Linked DNA regions of Caenorhabditis elegans. The protein of the gene in region 1 purifies or fractionates together with the protein of each later gene. This does not show direct contact. Each region holds a gene or a part of one and is shown on either strand. Other genes may lie near its edges. The genes, in order: dcaf-13, lig-1, rpb-9 and ddx-27.

Region 1 (5,061 bases):
AATCGTGGTGACAACTCGAAGCCATCTCAGCGAATCTGTCTCCAACGCCCTCGAAGCTCTGAAAACTCGAAATTTGGCGGATAGCGTTGAAAAAGTCGGTGGAGCCGGATTCAAGGTGCTCAAAGTTCTGGAAGGGTGTGCAGCGTATGTCTTTGCAAGTGCTGGTTGTAAGAAATGGGACACGTGTGCAGTTGAAGCCGTGTTGACTGCTGCTGGAGGAACTCTTACGGACATTTCGGGCCGTGATATTCGATATGAGCCCGGTGTGCAGCTTAATAATACGGGAGGAGTACTGGCGACGGCTTCATGGGTCAAGCATAAGGATTATATCGATACGATTCCACAAGAAATCAAGAATATGTTGCCGGAGATTTCATCGAAAAAGTGATCTGAAGCATTCCAAATTTAATTTTTTTCCTTTTTAATATCATTTTCTTTCATGTCTAAATATTTTTCTTTCTTTTTTTAGTGTTGTAAATGAAATTATGAATTATCAAATTTTTTTTTAAATTTTCGATTTTACGGAAAATCGATAAAAAAACATAATTATTTTCTTCGAAAAAAAAAATGAAAAAATGGCCGAAAAATCGAGATTTTTTTTTTTGAAATAAAATCGAAAATTTTTCGATTCTTCGGTTAATTTTTTTGTTTTTCGAATTTCTCTAAATAATTTTTTTTTGATTTAGCGGTATTTAAAAACAAGGATTTTTTTTGGGAAAAATAGGAGAACAACCAAAAAAAAAAAGTGTGATAAACTTGAAAACAACAACAAATAACAAAAGAAAAAACGACGCTGCTGCTTCACATTTCGGCATCTCCAACCATAATCTTCTGAGTCTGTGGCAGATATGATTCCTCCTCGTCGAGTCCAGCGGCTTTTGCTCGTCGGAAATCTCGTCGTCCGCGGGCGTCTCTGATAAGCTTGTGCTCCTTGGCGGCTCTGAAAATTGTTTAGTTTTGCTTTGGAATTTCCACAAAATGTTGTTTTTCCAAAACGAACATTAGTGAGAAAATACAGAAAATCACTTGATTTCTCTGAAAATAATATTATTTTCAGCAGCATAAATGCTATTTTCAGAGAAATCAAGTGATTTTCTTCATTTTGGCACTATTTTTCAGTGTAATTGGCCAAAAATTCTGAATTTTTTCTGCAAAAAACCCACGTGAAAATATGTCTTGGCACATTGCGATGCTTTGCGATTCTTCGTACTTCTGGATGGTTCTTATAGGTATCTCGAAGTTTTTCATTATAAGCGAAAGCTTGTTTCTCTCGTTTTGTGAGTGGTCCAAGCTTCTCCGCGGCATTCGCTTTCCAGACACGAATATTCATTTCGTTACTTCCAGATAGAACGAATTTCGAATCAGCAGACCAGAGTACGGAGAGGACTGAGGCCATTCGTTTTGTGTAGTAGACGTCTCTGAAATTGTAGAATTCGAATTAATTCTAATTTTGAAGTTTATATTTTAAAATTTTGGAGTGCTAGATTAGGGGTGGGCGGCAAACGATTTTTCCAGCAAATCACCAAATTGCCGGAATTGACTATTCCGGCAAATCGGCAAACTGGCAAATTGGTGGAATTGCACTTTTTTTTTTGGAAATTCCGGCAAAATCGGCAACTTGCCACAATTCAAAATTTCCGAGAAATCAGAAATCTGGTGAATTTCTGGCAGATCAGAAATCTGGCAAATCGGCAACTTGCCACAAATCAAAATTTCCGGCAAATCAGAAATCCGACGAATTTCCGAAATTGAATATTTCCGGCAAATCGGCAACTTCCCACAAATCAAAATTTCCGGCAAATCGGTAATCCGGCAAATTGGTGGAATTAAGAATTTCAGGCAAATCGGCAATTTGCCGAAAATTAAAATTTCCGAAAAATCAGAAATCTGGTGAATTTCCAAAATTGAATATTTCCGGCAAATCGGCAATTTGCCGAAAATGACAAAAAATTTGCCGAGCGGCACATGCCGCTATCCCTGTTCTAGATTGCCGATCTACAATATTTTCAGCAATTAATATTCACCTGCTAGTCATATCTCTAGCCTTAAACAATCTAATAGATCTATCATATCCAGCAGCCACAAATTCTTGACCAGTCGGCGAATAGTCGACATCAAGCACAGCAGACGTGAATCCCTGATGAGATTGAACAGGATGTTCCATATATCTCATATCAAATGTGTACAGGCTATAGTCCTCGCTAGCCACCGTGAAGTTATAGGCCTCCATCGGATTCCACGAGATCTTATTCGGACGCATTTTCATCGTCACCTTCTTCAGTGGAACGTCTTGTCGCGTGTCGAGCACGTAAATCGAACGATCTGAGCGGGCGCCAACGATCACGTTCTCTTCGACTGGATTCGCTCGGCATGTGTGAATTGTGTCAGTGCCGAGATTATAACTGCGTAGTGGTGTCTCACGATACGGCTTCCAAACACTAATATCTTCTCCACAAGTGACAAAATCCGAGGAGAATGAGAGATGAGAGACTCCATACACAATTCCATCCATTGCAATTGAATGGGCCGGCGTTTTCTGTTGTCCTTCGATCTTCCAATATTTGAGTTGATTGTCCTGTCCAACAGTTACAAAGTTTTCTCCATTATTATTATCAATTGAAATATCATTAACAAGTCCTCGATGTGCGTCTAAAGTTGCTTGACACTCTCTGGAAGCCAAATTCCAGATTTTTACTTGACCATCTCGGGCGCCGGAGAAAACTGTGGATGGGCGATCTGGAAAATTGAAAAATATTTTTTTCTAGAGATTTTCAAGAAAAATCAATTACTCGGATGCTTTGCAAGAACTTGAACTCCGTCGACATGGCCGTCAAGACTCGCAACGAATGGTTTAGCGAAAACTCGCTCCAATTTCGTGGCATTTAGAGCACGTGTGTATTCAACTTGAGATCTGAATGGGTCCGCTGGTGTGTTGAAGTTTCGAACGACTGGAAACATTGAATTAATATATGAAATTATAAAATACTAGGAAAATCTTACTTTTGTTCCTTTTGTCCGTGGTTTCTCTTTGATAAGTGTTTGGATTTCGAGAAATCACCTTGATTTTCATTTTGTTACCTGAAAAAAATCACTTAAATTTCGAGGAAAATTACGAAAAGCTTTTCTTATATAAAAACAATAAAAAAGAAAAAATTTAAGTGTCGTAAAGTGTGGTGTGCGGTCCGCAAACTTGCGTGCGGTGTTCACGTACCGCGCCCTAAACTCGAAAATTTATTTTTTATTCTAATTATTTTTTTGTAATTTTCGCATTTTTAAGCGCAATTTTCTTTCTTTGAACAGTTTTTTTTTTGTTTCAAAAATTAAATAAAATTACCATTTTTCAGAATTGTTGTCTGTTATTTCTCCAAACCCCGGGTATCATAAGAATGGCGACGTCGTTGACAAGCCAGTTGGAAAATTTGAGAACATCGGCCGCTCGTCACTTGACGGTTGAGAAGCGCCATGTTTCTTTATTGTTCGATAGAAAAGAAGCCAATAAACTATCAAATGAGACCGCTCACAGAATTGGTAAGAGCTTCGAGAATTTAATTTATTTATTCTTTATTATTTCAGGAGTTGCGGGACTCGAGCAAATGAAGAGAATCGACCCAGTTTTTGATACAGAATTCGCCAACGATCTATTCTCTGAAGAGCGTGTAGACTTTGTCAGGTCAATGCTCGAAAAAGGCGCCAATGAAGAGCTCAACAAACAAATCGAAAAGCTTCTTCTGGAACTTTCTCCGTATCTACAACATTTCGCTTGCCAACAAGTTCTTGAATTCCTGATCCACACTTATCAAATCTACTCTTTCAACGCCGAGACGCTTCTTCTCACTTTTCTCCCATTCCACGAGACCAAAGTCTACTCCAGACTTCTCCGTATTCTGGATTTTGACTGGAAAAGATCGAAAGAATGGCAATTTATGCAGCAATTCACGAAGACGGAGACACCAATCCCATTCACTTCAATCGCAAGAGCCACGTTGTCAAGCAAGCATTCGATTATTACCTGTATCACGGATCACATCAGACATGCTGTTGAGATTGTTGGAAGTGACTATTTGGAAATTAAACATCCTATTCTCTTCAATTTTCACGCGAAATTGTTGTTGAGCATGTTCACGGATCCAGAAAAAGTCGACGAAATGATGCTTGCCAAGTTGATGCCGTTCATCGAAAATGGAATTAAAAGCCCAATGAAATCTTTCCGTTACTCTGCAATGGTTGTCATCTCCCAGCTGGTGTTGACGGTGAAGCTCAAGGATGAGGTTTTGAACTCAATGTGCAAGCTGCTGATCACAAAAATGCGATCGGACACCGCAGCAGCTTCACTTTCGACTCTGATGGTTGTTTTCCAGCAGCAAAACGTGCAGAGTTTGTCGAAGAATACGCTGAAGAAGCTGCTCCGCCACGAGGAAGGCATTGATGTCTGGAAGATTCTGAAGGAACTCTCAGAGCGTACAGATACGACAAAGTTCTTCAATGTTCTGTGGAAAGAACTTATTGTGTTGTCAAAAGATGCAGAATCTGAAGATAATACCTTGGCGATTGATGTTCTTATAGAAACTATTGAAGATGCTTCGATTTTGACTGGAGATCAAGCTGGAACAATCTTGAAGCTGATCCTTCAGGAAGGAATGGACGGAAATATTTTCGATAATAAGAAGAAGCTGAAATCGAATATTCGAGCTATTGGAATGCGATTTGCGAAGCAATTTGATGCGATTCACGCCGAATTGAAGGCTAAGGACAAGAAAACCTTGAAAAATGTGCTCAAAGAATACCAAATTGAAGATATTGTGCAATTCGCCAGTGAAGCTGTCGCTGCCACTCAATCTGAGGAATCTATTGAAATTATTTCCGAGGAAGCTCCATCTTCCAAGAAAATCAAGCTCACCGCTTCAGAAAAAGCTCAAAAGCTGGCTCAAAGTTCAGAATTCGCGAAACGAGAAGTTTTCTCCGGTGACCCGATCAATAAGGCGACCGAATGGTTGAACGGAGAGAAATGGGACAAAGTCGAATGGGCTCTGAATGAGATGGCTCAACGAGGAGAGAAATATT
Region 2 (4,910 bases), on another chromosome or scaffold:
ATTACAGGGAAATTTTGAATGTTTTCCACAAAATTGTGAGAAGGATACCTGTTACGATTCTTTCCCGATACGCTTTTTTGGATAGTAGCGGATTCATGGAATGACGTGACAAATTCACCTAGATTTGTTCAAAGTTTTAATTATTGCTTCAAAGTTTTAATTCTAAATAAACTTTTTGTTTGAAACTTAAGAATATTAATTGAATTGGTTTGAGGCATCAGAATGTCTTATGCTTTCTGCTCTCCCGTATTGAACTGCAAATCGAATTTTGCGGATGCGCACTACGTAAGTCAACGACACAACAGAAGAATGCACGAAGGAGAGAAGATGATTCAGGAGTACACAGACGTGGTAGAATGTAGATATACATTTGTCTTTTTAGTAAAGTTTTACTATGTGTTTGTTTCTAGGTATCTAGGTCAGCGTCTATCTCTTTCCTAAATAGAAGACTCAAAATCCAAAGTTCTGAATAAATCAGTTGAAAGTACAACACATTCGCACACATGAATGAGTTGTTTAAAATGACCGGCCGTGAACAAAAGAAAAAGTCGATGTGAGGTATTTACTTAGAAAATTAGGAAACATAGTACAAAAAGTAAATCATTGAATATGCAGAAATGTATCTCAGTATTAGTTGCTTGGCATTAGTCGGAATCGGAATCAATTGCAACGCGAGACCTCTTCTTTGCTGGCTGTTTCTTATTAGTTGAGGTTTCTTCATCAGACTCGTCAGAATCAGAAGGCAGCTTCTTCTTTCTGATCGGAGATGGAGATTCCACTTTAACGTCTTTTTCATTCTTCTTTGTCGATGATGAAAAGATGCTAGCAACTGGTCCTTTCTTTTTCTCTGCTTCTTTCTTTATTGGTGAACTTTTCACGGGCGATTTGTTAACTGGTGAAGATTTTACAGGCGGTTTCTGGAAATAATATATATAATTAGCGATAATGGTAATTTCAAAAACTAAAACCTTTTCGAATTTTTTCGGGGATACTGATTTAGGAGTCTCTTTCTTGATCTCCTCTTTCACTGGATTTTCTTTAGAACTTCCTTCAGATACATTGGTCATGTTCAACTCCTCCTCTTCATCTTCTTTTTCTTCAAATTCGTCATCCTCATCAACTGCATCCGCCTTTTCGATCTTCTGGTTGGCAAAAGCTTCTTGGTTTTTGTACATTTCAAGAACTTGCTCCGAAGATGTTGCATCGTCGGAATTTTTATCGTCCCGAATACGCAGGAAACGAGGAAATCTCAAAGAGATTCCTTTTCCATCATCCGTCAATCCACTTGCAGCTTTGTGACGCGGAGATATAGTAATATCGGCACATTTGACTTCGAAAACAAGATACGGAGAAAAAGTGTCATCTGGTTTAAGAGTGTGATCAAATTGATAATAAGAAGGAGATTTGTCAATTTTCTTGTCTTGTAGGATCTTGTATTGCTCGGCCAAATCTTCATCAGTGAAACCAGTTCCAATCTTGCATACACTTTCGTACTCTTCTGTAGTAGGATTGTAACATCCGAGAAGATATCCTCCATACACTCCAGTTCTCTTTCCAACTCCAGAATAAGCACCCATGACGACAAGATCCAACGTATCTCCTACTCCATCAACGTAATCTTTCTTCATTTTCAACCAGCTGTGGGAACGTCTTGAAATCTCATAAGTAGCTTCAGTGTCGAGAGTTTTGATCATGAGTCCTTCGCATTTATTTTGAACGGCTTCATCGAAGAAAGAGTTGATTTCATCAGTATCATTTGTATCTACGGAAGTTGCAAAATAGAAGCTTCCATCAATCTTTTTGAAGTTTGTTCGAAGAAGTTCTCTTCTTTTTCGGAGTGGTTTTCTCACGAGAGGCTCCCCATTGAAGTAGAGAAGATCGAAAAGAAAAACTACAACCTTGACTCCGTTATCATCAGTTGCATTTTTCCTTTTACGAGTCGACAAAACTTGGAACGGAAGAATTAAGCCAGCCTCATCGATAGCTACAACTTCAGCATCGACAATAAATGAAGTTACCCCATCCCCGATGCAGGATGAAATTTTTTCGATAATATCGGGGTACTTGGTAGTGTTGTTCTCTTGGTTTCGACTGTAGATGAAAATTTGCCCGTCTTCTCGTTTATGAATCTGGCCGCGTTCTCCGTCATATTTCCATTCACAGGTCATTGTCTGATTTCTGAATCGTCGCATAATTTCATCAATTCCCTTTGTAGGGTGAGCCAGCATAGGTTTCAGTGGAATTCCGGGTGAAAGTTTACATTTTTCGACAAGAGCTTCCACACCTTCAGTCAGTGCAACTTCGATCAGACGATTGTAGTTAGGGCATTCGCTGAAAATTAATTAGATGAATAATTTAATAAAGAAACAATTATTACCAATAGGCGGTCTTTACTCGCTTAACATTTGCATCTTTCAGAGAATCGAGTTTGTCACCACGAACCTTTTGATCAGTTATTTTCGAAAGAGTGAATGCATGTCCAAGTGCTGATAGAACACTTTGTTCACCGAGACCGATTCTCATTTTGCCGGCGAGCATTCGGACGAGGAATCGAGCCTCAATTCCTTGACATGCAATGAGGAGTGCACTAATGGCATCAACTTTCTTGTTCATAGCTGAAGTGCCACTGAGCTTTGCAATTTCGGTTAACTTGTTGAAAACAGTTGGAACAGTTAATGCTTTTGGAACAGCAAGCATTTTCTGATTGGATCTTGACTGTTGTGCGACAGTCCCAAGATCTCCTTTCGCGCGAAGATCTTCTTTAATTTTTCCCTCTGTACGTCCGGTCGCTTTAGCAACAGCCTTAAATTTTCTTTATAATTTAATATAGATTCAGTGGAATGCAAACCTTGATCAGCGAATTTTCAGCAACTCCAAGCTCGAGCCCTTCATACGATGGCCCGAGCTGATTAACTGACATGTACACGCACGCTGTTAAATCGTCGGGTGAAAAGTCCAGAACTTTGGTGAAAAATTGAGCCAATTCATCCACTTTCTTTTTTCCCGATAACTCTTCGATTTTCTCAAGGGTGAGAGCAAACTCCTTGTAAGGGACTCTGAAAATTTAGAAATAAAAAACAGTATGTTCCACAAAAAACTTACTTTGAACCCTTTGCCCATTCAACAGCGGCTTTGCCAGCTTTTGAGAAAAACATCTGAAACGATGAAGATGTGAAATTTACATTATTCGAGAAGAAAAGGTTTCGAAGATGAATAATTAATACGTGAAGGGATACAACGTAAAATACTTGGCAGTGTGCAAAATCAAGAGAATATCGAGCAAGTATTAAAAATAAAGTTGTATTAATCGAACCAGAAAACGATACATTTTGAACGGCGCGCGCACCAGATGCATTAGAGCACGATTGCGCGCACATGAGAGAGTGTGGAGACTAAGAGACATAGACAGTTAAAAACCGGCAAATCGTAAATGCTTCTTTCCTTGTGATTAAAGTCGACGTTATTAAAAATAGAAAAATGGGACATTGAAAATACCATCGTCTATTTGCTTTTTAAAAGATAGTGAGAGACCTATAATTAATAAAAAAAAGAATATTTAGACAACACATTTGAACCTACCAAAAGAAAAGTTCATTGCTACCGTACTCCAATGCCTGCACATCAAAAATACCGACTTTCAGCACGTCGCGGAAAATAACGGCATTCAGTTTCTTTCACGTGTTTTCAGCTCGACCATTCGGTGTAATTTGTGCAAACACCGTCACGCGCAAATGCAGACATTTTTGCACGCGCTGCGGTGAAATTCCTCTTGGCGAATTCAAATATTTTTTCCCGCCTTTTTTGAAAATTTTCGAGGCGTTAGTCGAGCTGAATACACGTGTCTTTCATCGATGTTCATTTTCTAACACTGTTTCAGAATGTCCCTGTCACAGAAAAAGGACCTTCTCGATGAACTACATAATGAGGCTGCAAAATGGTTGGCAGTCCTTCTCGATTTGTGTAAAAATGTAAAGGCGCCAGAGAACCAGCGAAACCTAGTCGCCTGGGCACAGAAGTGGATGGATGGGGCCGGAACACTCACTGACGAGCTTGAAGATTTTTCCATACGTGTTCACGTGGCAGAAACTGTGTCGGAGGTATAGACGAGAATGTGTTTAACAAACATTTGTTTCCTTTTTCAGATCAATCCTGCCGACAATGCTCCAGTTATGGAATGCCTTGTTGATGTCGTCAATGCAATAAATTCCATCACACAAAATATGTACAAAATTGTCAATAACGACCAGAACAAGCGATTGTTCATCGCGTAAGTTCAAAAAGTAAATAATTGGATTAAAAATATCATTTCAGAAAGTCAAATGCTCAAAGAAAGCATGCAAAGTTATTGAATGAGAAGGAAATTGTTATGAGACGACTGGAGCAATTGAAGAAAGAGCAGCTGAAGAAAACAATGGAATCCGAAAAAAAACTGAGAGATCTTCAAGCTGAAAATATCCGGCGAGATTTTCAAGAGCAGGCTCGTTCACAAGCTATGAGAGATCACGAAGGTATGAATTTCAGGTTGATTGATTTAATATTTATAAACTGTTTCAGTTTACCTTGCTTATGCGGAAGCCATTAATTCTGTAAACGTTACACCTCATTTCGAACATTTTGAGACCCCTGCGGAAGACATTTCTACACCCTTTGAATCGCCCAATCTTCCGAGAAAACGTCGCTCTCGCAGCCTTGGCCGGAAAGTTTTGGGATCTGTCAAGGTATAAAAATGGATTCCGATTTATTTTCATTCCTATTTAATTTTAGAAAACAATCCGCAGAAGCGTATCAGCTATTCACGACTACATCGATCATCATCACAAATAAGACGCCTAAATTTATTTCTTACAGATGATAACTCTATATTGTTCATTTCATAGCTTTTATATAAGTCGTTTTTCATGTACCATAAA
Region 3 (3,662 bases), on another chromosome or scaffold:
TTTAAAAGTTCTTAAAAAAAACAAGAATGGCGTGAAATGATCTATTCATTGTTAGTAAATTGGAAAAAAATAAAATGGAATTTGGATGGGATGAATGAGACCCGATAGAAATATAAGATAATACATCGATCATCCCAAATCGTGAGAAATTGAAAGAATCGGCTGCTCGAGGTAGGCGGCCAGTGTATGAAGCTTAGCGCGGACCATTCCCAAATCGGCACTCTTGTCGGCCTTGACTGCCAGAAGCATTGTACGAGCGACGAGTGTGCAACCAATTACTCCATTCTCCAGAACGAGAATAGTTTCTTTCAGATCGTTGGCTGTAATTACAACTTGATCGAGGTGTTTGATTTCAAACTTTGAAGAATGTGAACTGGTAATTTTCCAGTTGAAATAGACTGATTATGAGCATGTTTTAAAAAATCTACCTCTTCTCTCGAGAGCAGCCCAGACACTGGCTATAAGTGCAGATGAGACGTTTGATGCAACGGCTTTCTGTTCGCTTCCGACGTAGGCAAGGAGCAATCCTTCCTTATTGAAAAGCCACGAACCATCAACACCGCTTGTGTTCACCTGTCCGAGAACATCAACCAGCGCTTTCTGTTTCAGCATCTATTTTAAAGTTTTGGATTACGGTTACTAGTTAGAAAGTTTTAATTTTGAAAATAACCAAAGAGTACGGTAAAAACCGAGAATTAGAAAAAATATAATCGAAAAATTGAATGATGATTTGAATTTATTGGAACAGGTAGGGAACATATGGAGATCCGAAAAAACATTATTTTAGAAATAAGGAATAAAACAACAATTGACGATTAAGAAAACGTTTCAAATAAATAGAAAACAATTGGACACTATGTTTTATTCCGTCCATCTGTGCTGACAATCTTGCGATGCACATACATAGTACAATCTCATCTCTTCTTCTGCCTTTTTTGTTTGAGCCTGGAAGAAGACAGCCTTACTTTTGCCACAGACTGGACATTGATGTTCTTCAGTCTTCGGGAGCGTTGGATCGTGAATAATATCTCCGACGATTTGAGTGAGCTCACTGAAATAATCCAATTGATTTAGAAAATGAGTCAATTTGACAATGAACTTACTCAATTTCGTGAACGAGCTTATTCACATAGATACACGGGTTAGCGGCGACTTCACGATGCTCACAGTTCCGGCAGGAATACATCAAAACTCGTGATTCCTTATCCTCTCGTGGGTACAGCATATTATTGCTGAAGTTTAACAATTTTGATGTTTTTTTTCAAATTTTCATCATTTTGTCTTTATTATTAGCTTTGAGCCAGAGGTGGGTGCAATTTTCTTTCGGCAATTCTACAAAATGGCATATTGCGCCATTTTGTTCCAACATTTTTAGTTTAAAATTAGTATCAAAATATAGTAATTCAGTTGATTTTACTGAAAATAACATTATTTTCGGCTGAAAAACTTCAGAAAGTGCTTAAAAATGGCATGCAAGTTACCGATTTTCAAAAAAAAAAACAAAGCTCGATAATGTTCCAGCTGAAAATGATATTTCCAGTTAAATCAATTTAATTTCAATATTTTCACACTAATTTTAAATGAAAAATGTTGAAACAACAAGGCGCAATCGGCCACTTTGTGAAATTGCCGGAAATAATTTCCTAAATAATATAAAACTAATTACCATTCTGGGCAAAACTTGATTCCAACAAAACCAGGCCCACTTTTCCCGGGTTTTTCGTTTTGACTCGGCGCCGGTGATGCACCGTTTTGATCGTACATATCATCGTAATTATCATACCCTTGGCTCATCTTTCTGAAAAAATATGATAAAACATTTTCAAGCTTTGATTTTAATTGCAGATACATTAGTGGAATGGAAAACCACAAATAGCGAATCAAAAATGTGGAAAATAAAATAAAAATGCAATTTTTATTTACAAACCAACAGAGGAGAGATAAGATTATTCGAAGAAGGAAAACCGACCTTTCTAACTTTGTATATACATATAAAAAAGAATTCCATAAAATAAAGAAATGGGGGAATGATGCTAGCCATTTGATTCTAGAAGCTTTAAAGAGATAGGAGTGACAGTGGAATTATTGACAGGAACATGTAGAATATCGAAAAAGAAGTGAATTTAGTGAAAAAAGAGCATTTGAATTATTCATCCCAGTTAACCCATCCTTCTTCTTTCTTTTCGCTTTCAGGTCGAGGTGTCAATGGTCCCTTTTCGTCATCTTCGTCATTTGATGGAATTTCCTATAACTAGTTTGACATTGCTATCGATTTTCAATAATTGGGCAGCACTTTTAATAACATTTGGTGCAAATTTTTCGAAAAAAAAATTATGGTTCAGCGACAAAACGAACCTCAACATTCTTTTCACTGCAAACACTCCATTCAGATTGTGACGGACTCGTTGGCTCTTCTACAACCACTACAGACGATTCAGATGATGGTGATGATTTCTTTGATGATGTTCCAGATGATCCCTTTCTTTTCGATTTCTTTGGTGATTTTGTATCAACATTCAATGCCTCGGAGAGTGTCGACTTGTTCATTTCTTCCTCCATTTCAGCAACCTCGATAGCATAGAAATACCGTTTCCAGAATGTTTCATGATTGACACTGCCTGGAACAAGATTTGCAAACATTTGACGCAATGATGGATTGTTTGCAAGAAGAATATTGATCTCTCCGTCATATTCGTCTAAATTGAAGCGAGAAATCCATCTTTCATAAAATTCAGAATTTCCTGGTTCAGTGAGATAGATAGATTCGTTGGATTGAATTTCGGAGAGCTTCAATTTTGATAAACAAGTTTTTCTATCTTTCTTGGGCTTGATAGCTTCAGTAAAATCGTCTTCTCCGGTAGTGGTCTCTTCCATTGCCAAATTCTTGACCGTATCTGTAACCGTATCCACAATCTTAGTCATCCATCCAAAGCTCAGAGAGTTCGAGCTTTCCAGTTTTGGTTTCTCAGTTCCTGTTTTCTGTTCCGATGATTCACCATTATCGTCTCCTTCTCCTGGTAATGGTTTCTCTTCTTCATTCGGAGTCACAAGCTTCTCCAGCATCTGAGCTTGTTGTTTGACAGCATTTGCAGCAGTCCCGAAACCTTCTTTTGCAGCTGAAGCAAGATCGGTTACTTCAGCAGAGACGGCTTCACTCAAATCGTTCAAATCCTTTTTGACTAGGTCAAGAGTTGTCATCGTCTGAAATTTGTTTTTAGAAGGAATTTTCATTGTTTTTGTGAAGTAAAATAGGATAAAACACAATTATTGCGAAATTTAATTATGCACTTACCTTTTCCTTGGCAGAATTCAAAAATGATGCTCCCCAAGAGGAACCCTGGTTGAGCCATGAACTAGCAGCTCCAAATCCGCCAGCGAATCCGGAATCTTCCGTGGTTTTCGGTTTTTCCTCATCGGTTTCCTCGACTTTTACATCTTCGGGTTTTTCCGACATTCTCTGAAAAATGAGTGAATTAGCTGGAGAAAATGCCATGAGAAGGGACTCATTTATTGCACGGAATCTAATTTTCGAAAGAGGATGAAGAAACGAATGAGACGAGAAGATATCTGGAACAGAAAATGGAAAAATAGAAAAACAAAAGCAAAAAAAGGCTGAAATGGGAGAAAACACAGAGAAGACTCGGCTAAATGAGGCAGAGAAG
Region 4 (4,852 bases), on another chromosome or scaffold:
TAATTTTTTTAATTTTCAAAAAATCTTTTTCATCTCTTTCTCTCTCTCTCTGAATCTCAATTTTTTCCTGAATTTCCCCGTTTTTTTCTGATAATTTTCAATATTTCTCTGAATTTTTCTATTCCCCCCGTTGTAATGCCAAAATATGTGGTAATTTCTCCCCATTTTTTCGCTTTATTACTATTTATTCTATTCAATTGGTGCCTCTCTCAATGTGTTGTATGAAAAACACTGTTTTATGGAGGTTTTGGAGAATTTTGAATTTTTTCGTCGTGATTTTTATTGGTTTTCTTTACCAATTCAATTTTTTTTTTAATTCGAAAATTTGTAGAAATTCACTTTTGTAGCTTAAAAAATTAAAAATTGAGAAAATTTGTTCAAAAATGGCAAAGTTTTCGAAATTTTAGTCTAAAAAAAGATTTTTTTAATATAGAATTTTAAAAAATTAGCACAGAAAAATGCCGAAAAATTCGTAATTTTTCATTTAAAAATGAAAAAAAAAAAAAACAAAAAAAAAAAAAAAAAAGAGGGAAAAATCCCATTAAAAGTAGTTTTTTGACTGCAAAATCGTCTGGAAATTAACAAAATTTAAAAAAATCTTTTTTACAGCCCATCGTTTCCAAAAACCAAATAAAATGCCAAAAAAAAATTTTTATGCAAAAATTCTGGATTTTTTTCCGATTTTTTCAAAAAATTCCCCCTTCTAAAAAAAATGGTGAATTTGTTCCCAAAAACCCAAAATTTGAGATTTTCTAAAATTTTGGCAAAAATTAAGAATTTCACGGTTTTGAGAGGGAAAAACTCCATTAAAATTGATGATTTTATGACTAAAAATTCCTAAAAAATCAATTTTCAGTCAAAAATTAAATTTTTTGAAATTCTAGCTAAACATTAAGAAATTCACGGTTTTGCGAGGAAAATCTATTTAAATCGATATTTTTTGACTGAAAAATCCCTGAAAAATCAAAAATTTTTGGCTAAAAATTGAGAATATTTTTTGTTTTAAAAAAATCATTGAAATTGATTTTTTTGTTTTAAAATTTCCATAAAAATCGCGGAGAAGTCAATTTTCAGTCATAAATCTTCTGAAAATTATCCAAACAATGGGATTTTCTGAAATTTTAGCTTGAAAATTGAGAATTTCCCGGTTTTGTCATGGAAATTCCATTACAATCGATATTTTTTGACAGAAAAATTGCTCTGGAAATTAACAAAAACCAAATAAAATGTCAATTTTTTTTAAATCCAAAAATTGTTGGATTTTTTCAGAAAAAAATATTTTTTCAATTGACTGGTGTCCAAAAAATATAGAAAATTCAAATTTTCCAAGAAAAATAGCCAAAAAAATGTAATTTTTGTCTAACAAAAAAATTGAATAGCGCAAAATTAAATTGTCGTTTTTTTTAAATTTCCCGGTTTTGAAAGGAACAAATTCCATAAAAATCGAAATTTTTTGACTGAAAAATCCGTGAAAACTAGAATTTTGAGTCAAAAATCCTCTGAAAATGCTCCAAAATATGAGATTTTCTGAAATTTTAGCTAAAAATTGAGAAATTCACGGTTTTTTCAGAGAAATTCCATTACAATCGATATTTTTCAAGTGAAAAATCCTCTGGAAATCAACAAAAACCCAATAAAATGCCCTAATTTTTTTAATCCAAAAAAATCTGGATTTTTTCAAAAAAAATTCCCTCCCCCACTAAAAAAATCGTATTTCCCAATTTTCAGAGCCAAAAAAAAAATGGTGAATTTGTTCCCAAAAACCGTCGAATCCGACGAAGAAATGGAAATCGACGAGTCGGACGACGAGCAAGTCCAAGACGAGGCAGTAACCGTCAGAAAGAAGAAGAAAATGGCGAATGCCGCCGAAGAATTTGCTCAGGATTTCATTTTTGAGTCAGGCGACACCCAATTTATCGATCGAGAAACCGAGGATCTTCAGAAATATCTGAAAAAGCAGACGCCAACGTCACTGGACGAGAAAATCGCCGAAATGAGAAAGTTGAAGAATACGGGAAAAGCTGTAATTGTTGAGGATGAAGCTGAAGCTGCTGAAGCCGAGGAGAAAGATGAAGAAGAGGATGATGTTCAACAATTGGGTGGAAAAGAGACACGAGATACTGTACGAGAGAAGAGAAAAAGTGGAAAATCAAAGAAATCCCAGGAAAATGAGGATTTCTTTTCGGCGCTGATTGATGGAAAAAGTCTCGACACGAGTGTTAATGTATCATTTGAACAAATGAATTTGAGCCGACAGATTTTGAAGGCGTGCTCCGGCGCTGGATATTCGGATCCGACGCCTATTCAACAGGCGTGTATTCCGGTCGCACTTACTGGAAAGGTGAATTGCTGTTTTGCGGAGAATTTTTTTTTTTGGAAATTTTCTGACAAAAAGTAGAGGTGGAGTAGTGAAATGTCTGGGAAATATTTTTATTTGACTCCAAATTATTATTTTGAAAAAAATTTAGGCAAAAAAGGATTGAAAAATCTTAAAATTAATGTTTTGGTTTATTTTTTGCCAAAAATCAATTTTAGTTTTTTTTTTACCTTTGGGAAAAATTGAAAAATTCAACATTAATGAAAAACTGGAAAGATGCCCGAAAAATCGTTTTTTTTTCCAAAAAAAAAATTTAAAAAGAGAAAAAATTGAAGAACATTCAAATTTTCCAAAAAAAATATATATTCTTCCGAAAAAAAAATTTTCACAAAAAAAAATACCAAAAACGGATATGTATATTGAAGGAACCAGAAATTTTTCGTTCTCAAAAAAATTTGCTTCCTTTTCAAAAAAAAAAACACAAAAAGCCAATGATTAACATTTTTGTCAGGACTAAATTTTTAAAAAATTCTTCAGCAAAAAATCAACTTTCACTTAAGGTAATGTTTCTATCATTTTTGCGAAAAAAAAAACAATTCTCGTGAAAAAAATTATTTTTTCTGAAAAAATAACCAGATTGGGGTTTTTTTTATTAGACTGCTGTCCAAAAAAAAATTGAAATTTTCAAAAAAAAAACAACAGGCGTGTATTCCGGTGGCACTTACTGGAAAGGTACTGCAATCTTGCGGAAAATTTTTTTTTGGAATTTTTCTGACAAGAATTAAAGGTGGAGTACCGAAATTTGAACCTTTGCTTTTTCCGACCCGAAATGGTCCAAAACTACCGAATTTCATAATGAGACTTCACGAAAAATTTCCAAAAATTTTTTATGGCCGGTCATAATTTCGAAAAAAAAGAGCCAAATTTTGCTAAAATCTGAAATTTCGCAAACTTTTCTTTGTCATAGCCGCTGGTTTTTAGTTTTTCTGAAATTATCACCTTTTAATCTTTATTTTGGTAATTTATATCACGGAAATTCGATGATTGAGACAACTTTTAGGCTGATAGGCATCCAAAAATATAAATTACCAAAATAAGGATAAAAAGGTGATAATTTCAGAAAAGTTAAAATCCAGCAGCTGTGACAAAGAAAAGTGTGCGAAATTTCAGATTTTAGCAAAATTTGGCTCTTTTTTTTTGAAATTTTGACAAGCCATAAAAAATTTTTGGAAATTTTTTGTGAAGTTTCATTATGAAATTCGGTGTTTTCAGACAATTTTAAGTCTAATAAAGCAATTTAAAAAATTCGACTACACCTCCTTTAAAAAAAAAGGACATTTAGTGATTTTTTTTTTCTTCAAAAATTGATCTAAAACTGTTCAATTTCAGGACATTTGCGCCTGTGCAGCGACTGGAACCGGAAAAACCGCCGCCTTCGTTCTTCCAATTCTCGAACGTATGATTTATCGTCCGAAAGGTGCCAGTTGTACACGTGTACTCGTTTTGGTACCAACTCGTGAACTGGCAATTCAAGTATTCCAAGTTTTCCGAAAATTATCGACGTTCATTCAATTGGAAGTTTGTCTGTGTGCAGGTTAGTTGGAGAATGCGATGATTTTTTGGGAAATTTTGGGAAGAAAAAGCCAAAATTTACAGTGTAAAAAATTGGAATTTTTAAAAAATTTAATATTAAGTTTGAATTTTCGGAGCAAAAGCTGCGAATATTGTTAAAAATCTGAAAAAATCTAAAAAATATGATTTTTTGAATAAAATTTTTCAAAAAATTAAAAAATTGCTGAAAAAGCAATTTTTTTGTGAAAAAATCAGAAAAATACTAATTTTATTATAAAAATATTAATTTCACCGGAAATTTTCCAATTTTTGAGAAAATCTGAAAAATAAAAATTTTTGGATTTTTTGGAACATTTATGAAAAAATCAAAAAAAACCAATTTTTTTTCAAAAAATAAATAGGAGATATATCATCAAAAAATCAATTTTTTCAAAAAAAAACTGATATTTTTTGTCGGATTTATCTCGAAAAAATTAAATTTTCCGGAAATTTTGGCATTTTCTAGACAGAAAAATCCGAAAAAATTGGATAAAATTTATCAAAAAAATTGAAAAAATAGCTGAAAAAAGCAATTTTTTTCGTTAAAAAATCGGAAAAATAGAAAATTTATTTTAAAAATTAATTTTTTTCAACAAAAAACGGCCCTTTTTTGTAAAATCGGATTTATCTCGTAGAAATTTAAATTTTCCGGAAATTTTGGCATTTTTTGGAGAAAAATCTGTAAATATTGTTTAAAATCTGAAAAATAAAATTTTTTGGATAAAATTTACCAAAAAAAAAATCAATTTTCAAATTTTTCCAAAGAAAAACTGATATTCTTTGTGTAAAATCGGATTTATCTCGTAAAAATCTAAAATTTCCGGAAATTTTGGCGTTTTTAGACAAAAAAAATCTGAAAAATTGGATAAAATTTATCAAAAAAATTGAAAAAATAGCTGAAAAAAGCAATTTTTTTGTAAAAAT

The links.
Region 2: the proteins of dcaf-13 (region 1) and lig-1 fractionate together in Caenorhabditis elegans (co-fractionation; one large-scale study listed by BioGRID). This does not show direct contact.
Region 3: the proteins of dcaf-13 (region 1) and rpb-9 fractionate together in Caenorhabditis elegans (co-fractionation; one large-scale study listed by BioGRID). This does not show direct contact.
Region 4: the proteins of dcaf-13 (region 1) and ddx-27 fractionate together in Caenorhabditis elegans (co-fractionation; one large-scale study listed by BioGRID). This does not show direct contact.

Annotation. Positions count from the first base shown.
Region 1 is NC_003280.10:4,421,825-4,426,885, forward strand, and holds dcaf-13 (DDB1- and CUL4-associated factor 13), read right to left. Parts: upstream 3,079-5,061; 5' UTR 3,071-3,078; coding exon 3,001-3,070; intron 2,949-3,000; coding exon 2,790-2,948; intron 2,737-2,789; coding exon 2,025-2,736; intron 1,419-2,024; coding exon 1,164-1,418; intron 941-1,163; coding exon 802-940; 3' UTR 696-801; downstream 1-695. Other genes in the region: bpnt-1 (3'(2'),5'-bisphosphate nucleotidase 1), read left to right, coding at 1-388; toe-1 (HEAT repeat-containing protein 1 homolog), read left to right, coding at 3,387-3,528, 3,574-5,061.
Region 2 is NC_003283.11:10,812,358-10,817,267, reverse strand, and holds lig-1 (DNA ligase 1), read right to left. Parts: upstream 3,156-4,910; coding exon 3,103-3,155; intron 3,057-3,102; coding exon 2,849-3,056; intron 2,803-2,848; coding exon 2,378-2,802; intron 2,332-2,377; coding exon 969-2,331; intron 918-968; coding exon 645-917; 3' UTR 550-644; downstream 1-549. Other genes in the region: C29A12.1 (uncharacterized protein), read left to right, coding at 3,879-4,097, 4,143-4,267, 4,312-4,508, 4,555-4,718, 4,765-4,824. UniProt on the Caenorhabditis elegans protein: DNA ligase that seals nicks in double-stranded DNA during DNA replication, DNA recombination and DNA repair.
Region 3 is NC_003283.11:8,010,495-8,014,156, forward strand, and holds rpb-9 (DNA-directed RNA polymerase II subunit rpb-9), read right to left. Parts: upstream 1,852-3,662; coding exon 1,667-1,851; intron 1,233-1,666; coding exon 1,104-1,232; intron 1,052-1,103; coding exon 862-1,051; 3' UTR 719-861; downstream 1-718. Other genes in the region: lmtr-2 (Ragulator complex protein LAMTOR2 homolog), read right to left, coding at 130-320, 429-612; Y97E10AR.6 (BSD domain-containing protein), read right to left, coding at 2,147-2,245, 2,356-3,201, 3,293-3,454. UniProt on the Caenorhabditis elegans protein: DNA-dependent RNA polymerase catalyzes the transcription of DNA into RNA using the four ribonucleoside triphosphates as substrates. Component of RNA polymerase II which synthesizes mRNA precursors and many functional non-coding RNAs.
Region 4 is NC_003279.8:1,766,159-1,771,010, forward strand, and holds the start of ddx-27 (RNA helicase), read left to right. Parts: upstream 1-1,728; 5' UTR 1,729-1,783; coding exon 1,784-2,341; intron 2,342-3,706; coding exon 3,707-3,911; intron 3,912-4,852.